Linked DNA regions of Sus scrofa. The protein of the gene in region 3 interacts with the protein of the main gene of each other region in a biochemical or structural test. Links are inferred from orthologs where the notes say so. Each region holds a gene or a part of one and is shown on either strand. Other genes may lie near its edges. The genes, in order: BMPR1B, ACVR1 and BMP7.

The links.
Region 1: the proteins of BMP7 (region 3) and BMPR1B form a complex in vitro, tested with the Homo sapiens proteins (2 studies listed by BioGRID). The link is inferred for Sus scrofa from reciprocal best matches to the Homo sapiens genes BMP7 and BMPR1B.
Region 2: the proteins of BMP7 (region 3) and ACVR1 form a complex in vitro, tested with the Homo sapiens proteins (2 studies listed by BioGRID). The link is inferred for Sus scrofa from reciprocal best matches to the Homo sapiens genes BMP7 and ACVR1.

The regions. Positions count from the first base shown.
Region 1 is NC_010450.4:124,559,491-124,563,145, reverse strand, and holds part of BMPR1B (bone morphogenetic protein receptor type-1B), read left to right. Parts: intron 1-842; coding exon 843-1,035; intron 1,036-1,866; coding exon 1,867-2,164; intron 2,165-2,304; coding exon of another isoform or gene 2,305-2,518; exon of another isoform or gene 2,519-3,655. UniProt on the Homo sapiens protein: On ligand binding, forms a receptor complex consisting of two type II and two type I transmembrane serine/threonine kinases.
Region 2 is NC_010457.5:64,789,545-64,793,199, forward strand, and holds part of ACVR1 (activin receptor type-1), read right to left. Parts: intron 2,958-3,655; coding exon 2,746-2,957; intron 1-2,745. UniProt on the Homo sapiens protein: Bone morphogenetic protein (BMP) type I receptor that is involved in a wide variety of biological processes, including bone, heart, cartilage, nervous, and reproductive system development and regulation.
Region 3 is NC_010459.5:57,586,238-57,589,032, forward strand, and holds the end of BMP7 (bone morphogenetic protein 7 precursor), read right to left. Parts: intron 735-2,795; coding exon 585-734; downstream 1-584. UniProt on the Homo sapiens protein: Growth factor of the TGF-beta superfamily that plays important role in various biological processes, including embryogenesis, hematopoiesis, neurogenesis and skeletal morphogenesis.

The DNA.
Region 1 (3,655 bases), on a different chromosome or scaffold from region 3:
CTTATATTTTATCCATGGTCAGGTTGTACGTATGGCAGCAAGAGCTCCTTCAGAGTATCTGGAATCTCACCACAGTGGTGGAATGAAAAGGGTTCTCCAAGTGCTTTTTCTCAAGAGAGGATTCGTATTTGTGTTTTTCTGGGCGCCATGGTGATGGTGTGCTACCAAGCTAAGGCAGATGTTGTACCATTCAGTGGTTCCAGCTTAATGCGAAAGCTCCAGGTTCAGTTTGTCTACTTTTAAAGGGATCAAAGTTCATGTTCTAGATCTCAGTTTATGCTGGTATTATTCGTGGCTCAGACAGCAACCTGGCTTTTGTATATATCCTGCATGCTTATCTACCCCTGCTCTAGTCTCATTTTTTCCTTCCTCTTTTACGCCTTCTTTCCACCCCTTCCTGCTTGGAAATTTCCTTTATTTCTATGTGTCCAACAGTGCTTTACGCTTTTGTTGTATCTTATCCAAGCATATAATGGCATGATTCCCTCAGGAGTATCTAGAACCCACTATGGCGGTACAAGTGAAAAGTATTCTAACCTGCCCATTACCATGAACCCAGTCAGATTTTTTGTCTCTATACAAATAGTAATAGGTAGAATGAAACACTTAATAACTCAGAAGCAGTATCAAACACTCAAAATCTGCAGTCATCCGCAAGTAGATTTAAAAGCGGATAGAAGAAATTAATAAATAAGGGCAGATAACTTATCCATATAAAGAAAAGCTACAGGCTAACTATATTTTACATGTAATCATTGTTTCTTCTCTGGAGGGGAAAAAAAAAGATTCAACAAATCTGTCGTGCTGTGAATACACTAACAGTGTGTTTTGGGATTTAACAGGTCCAGAGGACTATAGCTAAGCAGATTCAGATGGTGAAACAGATTGGAAAAGGTCGCTATGGGGAAGTTTGGATGGGAAGGTGGCGTGGCGAAAAGGTAGCTGTGAAAGTGTTCTTCACCACGGAGGAAGCCAGCTGGTTCCGAGAGACAGAAATATATCAGACAGTGTTGATGAGGCATGAAAACATTTTGGGTGAGTAAGAGGCTGTATTGCAATGTTCAGGGTTTCCTAGCTTTCCTCGCTTTTTTTTTTTTTTTTTCTGTTAACATCTGCATCTTAACTCATCAGTCTAGACCCCTGATGAAATATACAGACGTTTTTCTTCTTGGCATGAGCCCAAGAACGTCATACGCTTCTTATGGGAGCCCTCACAGGAGGAATGACTAAGGCACGTCTGCGAATGAATGTGGGCTGGGAGTGGAAGGTGCTCAAAGCAGTTTTTTTTCTTTTTTTTTTTCCCTTCAGGGACAGGAAATGCAAATGGAACACCAGAATTTCTTATGGTTTCTTAGGGATTTGAAGGTGCACGTTTTTGTTAAAATTTTGTTGTGAAAAGTTAGGGGAATTTTACCTGCAGGGTTTATTTATATCCCGAGTTTACATTGAAAATTGATTTCCTTTTCATTGTCTCCAGTTAGAGGTGATCTGGCTGAATCATCCAAGCAGAAAGACTGCAAGCTCATCACGGGAGGATGTGCTTGTTTTATAAACAGTGTCTTGTGTGTAACTATAATACCATGAACTATTTAGTGTTCACTTAGAGATACTTAAATACCGATTACCGATTAGGAAAAAGGATCCTGTTTTCAGATACAGCCTCTCAGTGTTTCTCTACCCCTCCTGTTTTGACGGTCTCTGATTGGTATGAGGCATTTCGATAGTGTCAAAGGCACAATCAGAAACCTGAATGAAACGTCATACAAAAGACACCTATGGCGAAGAATGGCAGTTGCAAATATGAATTATCCTTCTAGTACTCAGCAAACAAGGAGCTCCGAACCTTACTGGCTTTTTCCCTCGTAGGCTTCATTGCTGCAGACATCAAAGGGACGGGCTCCTGGACCCAGCTGTACCTCATCACAGATTATCATGAAAACGGCTCCCTCTATGATTACCTGAAGTCCACCACCCTGGATACTAAATCCATGCTGAAGTTAGCTTACTCTTCTGTCAGTGGCCTATGTCACTTACACACCGAAATCTTCAGTACTCAAGGCAAACCGGCAATTGCCCATCGAGATCTGAAAAGTAAGAACATCCTGGTGAAGAAAAATGGAACTTGCTGTATAGCTGACCTGGGTCTGGCTGTCAAATTTATTAGGTTAGTATCAAGGTGAACACATACACTTTTTATGGTTCTTTTCTATCATTTTTTATAGATGATGCATTTTATAGCTCAGGGCTTCTAGGATATTCAGCAGAGGAGGAATTTTTTTTATTCATTTCGACTTTTCTTTGCAGGGAAAAAGAAGGAACGTTTTCTTTGCAACCAATAAAGTGTTTGGTCGGGTCGGTCCCACAGTCTCTAAACTCATCAGTGACCTGGCTTCAAGACAGTAGCTTCTTTTACCTTGTAGGTGATTTCATTAGAAGAAATGGTTTTTCTCCTTTGAAAACAAAAGCAAATGAGTTTGCAAATCACAGGTACAGAAGGATCATCATATACTTACTTTAAAATCTCCACTTAGGCTGAGCCTTTATTAAATGGTCGGACCCTCTGACGGATTTGTTTCTAAAGAAGGCCCTGCAAGATACAGAGAGGGGCGCAAAGAAAAAGCCGTGGCAAGGAAGGAAACTTGGGAGAAAGGACTTAATGGATTGGCATTTTCACCCAAAAGTGAAGACAGAGGGCTGATATCATAATAGGCCTCCAATATATGGAGGTTTTCACCATTTAGACGACGGCAAATTGAAATGCTCAGTCTTTAAAAACAAAGCTGGAGGGAATGCTTGGGACTAGAGATATAAGTTAGAAATGTGAACCCCCCTGCCAATGCAGGCTACTAAATCCTCTTTCTCTTCTGAATTCTTTTTTCTGACTTACAACCTTTTTCTGGTCGCCTCTACCCAAAAAATTTCCCGTGATGCTGCTCAGATTACCAGCCTCTGTCCTTTCCTCTGCTGTTAAATTTCCCAAGAGTTCCAAAGAGTGATCTGCTTCCTTGGTCCCGTAATTCATAGTATTCTGTAATGGGAGCTTCTGTTCCCCTCTCCCCTGAAGCTGCTTTACTGAGGGCACCCTGCACTTTGTCATCAGAAGCCCATCTTACTGTCACCCTGCTCTCTGCAGTTCCCACACCTCTTCCTCCTGGGTTCCTGATGTACCTTTATTCCAGGTTCTCCTTTCTCTCTATGGGTTCTGCTCTCTGTTCCTTACATATTTGCCCACCTCTAGATTTTGTGCTCTCTCTGCGTTTTCTTCCTGGTTCCCAGTTTGGGTTGATCCATATTCTAAAATGTGAGCACCTGGCGTTTCCTCTGTTGCCCGAGTTTCCAACTTGCTCAGTTGAATGTGTTCTGTCTCCATGTTGCTCGCTTGGAACTGGGCCTGGTGAGTCGTCTTTACCATTTTTCTAGATTCTGGAGAAAAGCACTTTGTAGTTCTTTCCTCTTTGACTTTTTCTGTTTCTTTTTTTTTTTTCTTTCCCTACATGATACTGCCAGATGTTTTCTCTTGAAGCATCTTTTTGGCATCATCATATCATAGTACCCTCTGGCTTTGGGTTAAAATGTAGTTCCTGTTCTGAACACCTTCCACTTGGTCACACCTTCACGTGTTTTTAGCATGCTTTTATCTACCTGACCACCCAAC
Region 2 (3,655 bases), on a different chromosome or scaffold from region 3:
TGCCTTTTAGGTAGGCGAGGGACAAAAGAGTCACAAAATTAACATCTCTATGTAATATGCCAATTACCCACAAAGCAGAGAGAGAAAAAAAGTTATCTTCCATTAAAACAGAAAACCCATGCTCCAAATCTACTTCTCAAAATGCAAAAAAAGATTTGCAATTAGTTCATTCATAAATTTTCCCTCCTTACTCTCAGTGCAAGCCAAGAAGCAGAAGCCTTTTTGAATCAGGAATGGATTATCTATATAAACAGTATCGTGCCCATGGTGACTGTGGCAAGGTTGCAGTAATGTTGAGCTAAAATTCCCCACAGCCTGTCCTTTCCTAAACATTTTAGCTGGCCTGTTAAAGTAATACATTACTGTTTGAATTTCATCTTCTTTTACTCTGAGCACCACTGTGAAGTACTGTTGATCAGCAAAATTACCAAAATCTGAACATCCAAAGGAAGAAATTTAGAATCCTTAAAAGCCGCAAAATGGATAATCAGCAAGAAATTGAATCTAGATGAAGTGGAGTTTCACATCTCCTTAACCATCTCTTTTGCTGTTCATTTTTCTCCTTATTCATTCAATTTTTTAAGAGAATAGTTCTGAAAATTAAACTAATCTGTTGTTTTTTCATAATGTATAATCCTGGTTCTAAACCTAGTTCATAGACTTTGGGGGGATTGTCAACCTAAGACAAACATCAACTTCAACTCTTAGATCTTCTTTTTCAGTGTAGGGGAGCTGGTTAGTAAGGTATGCACTGCTGAGTCATAAAAATGAGCCTATCACTTAAATAGGCAAGTATGTCGACAAATATTAATAACTTGTTTTAAACAGTGTTCTTTACTGTGTCATTTATTGTGACATCGAACATGGTTGAGTTGAGAGGATTATTTTAGCATATATTCCATTCTGCTTTCAAAAACAGAGAAACCATTTAAACAGTAATTGACAATAGACATTCCTATCAGTGCCCAACATAATTAGCTACGTTAGCAGTTCTGAGGCAGAAAACTCTTAACTACTCTATCTCAGAATCATGCTTTCTCGTGATACAGCCTTATGTCTTCCTTGCTACTCATTCAATGTACTCATTTAATTTGCCTTAAAATTTGAAATAAAACTTCTAAGAACCTTTTCAATGCAAATTGTATCTCTCTACTTTTTGAATGAAAGGTCCTCATCTCCTCTTTTCCCAGTTTTGTTATAGCAAAATTTAAATAGGTAAAAGAAAGCTAAACAAGGTCCCCCCCACCTTTTCTTCATACAAAAAAAGTATACTTGACTGTAGTCCAGTGATGGGAAAGCAGTAAGATGGGATATTTCCCAGCCTATATCAGTCACCGTCAAATGTTTTAACAACTCGCCTAGTAGTCCAGGAGCAGTACCTGAGCTGCAAAGACTGGAGAGGACAAGTCTTCTCCAGCAAAAGGGCTGTCTTAGGGCAGGTGCAACTACGGAACTCCCAGACACTCACATTTTTGTCTGGCAAAACAAGACTTAATACAAGATGATCTTAGGTAGATGCAAGGTCATGGCATTAAAAGTTACCACCTTGACCATCTTTCAGTTCATCAGATTATGACCAGGAGAGTCTCGATTTGGTACTGGCATGACTTTAACATCTGTAACCCTGACAAATCTTTGCCTTTTTCAGAGGAGGCATCAACTCAGCATAGTAGCCCTGTAGAATGTTATTACTTTTCCCAGTGGCACTTGATGGTAACTTACTCCTAGCATGTGATTCCCTTTTCTCACCTAGAGTTTAAAGTTGCTTTAAAATTAACACTTGACAAACAATTTTAAAAAGTGAAAAAAGGAAGCCAGTCACTCTTGAATGTGATTTCATCATTTTAAAATGTGCAAATGAGTAACTTTAAAACATAGAGATACAATGGTTTGTAACCCTGTGCTGTGAGCCACATGACCCTTTAGGGTCGCTGTGAGCCACACGCTGACAGTGAGCCAGTAAGATGCAGCTGATCTGAACCGATAGGTGCTATACGTGTAAAATACACAGGAAATTTTGAAAACTCAGTTTTTTTAAAAAAGTTGCAAAATATCTCAGTAATAATTCCTGATAATCGTATGTTGAAATGATAATTATATATATTAGGTTAAGCGCAGTCTTAAAATTAATATTACCTGTGTTTTTAACTTTTTTAAACATGGCTACTAGAAACTTTTAAATTACACATGTGCCACACATATTTCTATTGGACAGCACCAGATTAACCAAATGTCTGCACTCCACAAGGGGGCAGCACAGGAGCATGAAAAATTTAATAGCTGCTTTTTTGGATGTCAGGTTTTAAAGTCTTAAACTACAAGGTGCTGAAATAATCTAGAAGGAAAAATGACTTTTAATATTAAGCAAAAGGGCTTTTTTTGAAAGCACTGTTATTGCTAAAAATAGAGTAACTGAGTACCATAAACTGCAAGCCTCCCAACCTCCAAATTATAGGCAACCATGTCTATCCCCTGTTCCCTTACTAGCAAAAGAGAAATAACTACCAAGAATCAACTAAAAAAATCCACTCCCTCATTTAATGTAAATGTCTAAAATAAACGTTCTCACAGTGGGGTCCCTAAACTAACATGGGTTGCCAGCATATGCTTAGGACATAAGTGACCAGTAGCATGTGTATACAACTGTCCAGTCACCAATTACTGGCTAGCATTTCATGCTTAAAATAAGAAAGCATAATTAGCCATCGCTGTTATGCTTGGGCACCCCTGGGGCCACACACTCACTGCTAAAGTGCTGTCTCCAACATTGGTGGTGATGAGCCCTTCGATGGTGCCGTACTCCACATCTCTGGGATTGAGGCGTTCTTGGTTGCGCCTTTTAAATTTTCGGAGAGCGACTCCCAGTAGGCAGGCTAGAAGACATACTGCGAACACTACAGACAGAATAATGAGGCCAACCTCCAAATGGAAATTCTGTGTTCCAGGAAAGGATTTCCCTGGAGATGGGAGAGAGGAGGGTAATTGGCTATAAGGATCATTGTTGACTTATTACGTAGCATAACCAATACCTAACAAGTAGCTCTTGATCCAAATCACATAGTCTCGTAAGTCACAGAGTGCTAAAACTATAAACTTTCCAACATCTGGCCAACAGCCCAGTCATTCAACCATTATTCATTTAGACACAACAGGAGTTTGAAAAAATTCCACTGAGAACCAACTTATTAATGCATCTATGTGGAAAGTATTTTTAAAATTTAAAGTACTATACAAATCGCTGATACACTCCTTATTAACTTGGACTTGATCTGTAAGGAGTTTTATCATCAAGCCCTTACAGATAAGACATTATGCTGTAATATTCTGATGAGAAGATGCTATCTGAGTTAAGACCAAAATACCCTCTCTGTGGTCTCTCTCTTCAATGTATCTTGGAAGTCTATTGCTGAATTCTTATTCCTCCTTTTAGAGCATGATTCCTGCCTATTCATTCATCTGATAAATAAATAACCCATTTATTCAACATTCGTTCACTCACTCAAAACATTCATTCACTGAGGCACTCACTTAGCTCATCACTCATTCACTCCCTGGCTCAGATATTGTTACATTACCCATTCAAACATTTGTGCATTCACTCATTTCTCACGTCACTTACGCAAACATTCGCAGACTTTCAACTTGCCTCGTGAGT
Region 3 (2,795 bases):
CTCGGCAGGCCTCAGAATGCAACCGGGATGGCGTGGAGAGGGGGCCTCCCTCCCTCCGCCGGCCGCAGCTTCTGTTTATGAAATCGGAATAAACCAAGAAATAGGGATAAATTGTTTAGGAAAATATATCTGTAACATCCTAACCATTTTCATTCATTCGTTTTATTGTGACATGTATTACAGGAGCCTCCGCATGAGTCTTCCTCTCGCACAGACACAAACGTGCCCACCCCCAGCCGCACCCTCTTCCTCCCACTGCCGGCGGCCTGGCTGACGGGCGCTCCTCATTACCCCTGGGACGAGTCGGTGCACGGCCGCGATTTCGCAGCCAGGGCTCGTGGCCGGGCGACTTTCCTTTAGCTACATGTCCTGCGGTTGGGTTTCGCCTGCAGCAACTTGTAGGATCTCGTCCGTAGGACGCCGCCGACGAACCACTGATCAAAAGCCACTCGCCTCCCAAATACCCTCACACGCCTGCACCGTTCAGGTTGGGGAGGGGGACAGACGGTCTGGCAAGGCAGCCGCCTTGGTCTGCGGGCTCCTCGCCACGGCGGTGGCCCTGGGTGGCCGGGCCTCGGGCAGGGCTAGTGGCAGCCGCAGGCCCGGACCACCATGTTCCTGTACTTCTTCAGGATGACGTTGGAGCTGTCGTCGAAGTAGAGGACGGAAATGGCGTTGAGCTGAGTCGGGGCGCAGCAAGGCTTGGGCACCGTCTCAGGGTTGATGAAGTGGACCTGGAACACACACCGAAACGTTGGTGGGCTGCGACCGGGCATCGCCTCGGCCTGGCCCCCGCGCGTCTGCTGGGACAAAAGCCACGGAGACAACACGTACCTGGCGCCCCCGGTTCTAAGCACCTGATGGATAACCAGCTCGGCTCCAGGCTTTATCCTTGGATCACACACAGGTGGGAGAACCCACGCACAGGGGTTTACGCAGCCGACAGCTAGCAAGCGGGTGGCCAGGTCCCGCTCTGTCTTGGGGCTGCCCTGTGCACTGTGGGAGGTCTGGCACCCTCGCTGGGCTGCACCCACTCAACGTCAGAGGCACTCGGACCCCGGCTCCCAACCCTGACAACTAAAACTGCCTCCAGACACTGTCAAACATCCCCCAGGAGGCAAAATCGCCCCAAGTCAAGAAGCACGGGGCTGGACCAGGGTTGGCCTACAGGCCGAGCCCTGCCCCGCCGCGTGTTTTTACGAATACAGTTTTATGGGCACACAGCCACACCCATTCATCACCACAGCATCTCCTGCTTCGGCATCGCAACAGCAGAGGCGGACAGCTCAACTGGGGCCGTTGACTCTCAAAGTCGAAAATATTTACTATCCGGCCCTTTTCAGAAAAAGGGTGCTGACCTCTGGGCCAGATCTGTCCTGCCCAAGAAAAACATCAAGCACATCACACAGGCCATTTAATGTGTTTTAGGAGCCACATTTTAAGAGATGGAAAAGAAAGAGGTGCAATTAATTTAAACAATCTATTCGATTGAGCCCCATATTTCAGAAATATTATCATTTCAACATATACTTAACCTCAGATATCACTAATGAGATATTTTATCTTTCTTTTTTGTTCTAAGTCTTCCAAACCCAGCTGCAAAACATCTTGGTTCCGACTGGCCACATGTCAAGTGCTCAAGAACCACACATTAAAAGTGGACAGCACTGGAGGGTGCAAGTCTAGACTACACGAGACGATTCTGCTTCTTGAGGAATAAAAATAAGAGGAAGAGAATTTCGGCAAACACTTGGGTGCACATCAGCAAGGAAGGAGAAGGTCCAGAAGCTAAGAATGAAGAAAGAGGAGTTCCCATCGTGGCTCAGTGGTTAACGAATCTGACTAGGAACCACGAGGTTGTGGGTTTGATCCCTGGCCTTGCTCAGTGGGTTAAGGATCCGGCATTGCCGGGAGCTTGGTGTGGGTTGCAGACGCAGCTCCTGTGGCTTGTATCCTGCGTTGCTGTGGCTGTGGCCTAGGCCGGTGGCTACAGCTCTGATTAGACCCCCTAGCCTGGGAACCTCCATATGCCACGGGTGTGGCCCTAGAAAAGACAAAAAATAAAAATAAATTAAAAAAAAAAAAAAGAATGGAGAAAGATGCCAGCCGGTTGCCCAGGTTTATTACTCCTTCTTGCTCAAGGGCTTCTGTGCACCTTCCGGAGGGTGAGGGTTGGAGGGAAACAAATTCAAATGCCGGCAGGGGCCACACGAGTGCCACTGATGACCACACTCAGTCAGGAGTCAGACAATAGGGGAGAGTGAGGAGTGGGGCAAACTAAAAGGAGACGGCCACTGCTGCCCACAGCCACCCAAGGCAGTGCCATCGGATGCGCCGAGGGTTCAGGACAGGCTGGCAGTTCAGCCCTGTTTTGTTTTTATGTGAAACTTCCAGGTTCCCAACACAGCGTGTGGACCGAGTGGAAACGCCACAGATGACCGCCTGCACTCCAGCCCCAGTCGGCGACCTCTCATGCCAGCCGGCACCCTTCTCAGATGGTTTTGGGGACAATTTCAAACCTTACAAGTCTAAACCTTCCCCCACATGCTCCGGCCTCGGATCATTTTACAGTAAACCCCAGATGTTAGCTCATTTCTTCTCTATTTCACTCGGATTCTCGGGAAGGCAAGGACTCAGATATGACCCTCGAGTTCCTGTCATGGCGCAGCAGAAACGAATCTGACTCGCATCTGTGAGGACGCAGGTTCAATCCCTGGCCTGGCTCAGTGGGTCAAGGATCCCGCATTGCCATGAGCTGTGGTGTAGGTCGCACACATGGCTTGGATCTGGCGTGG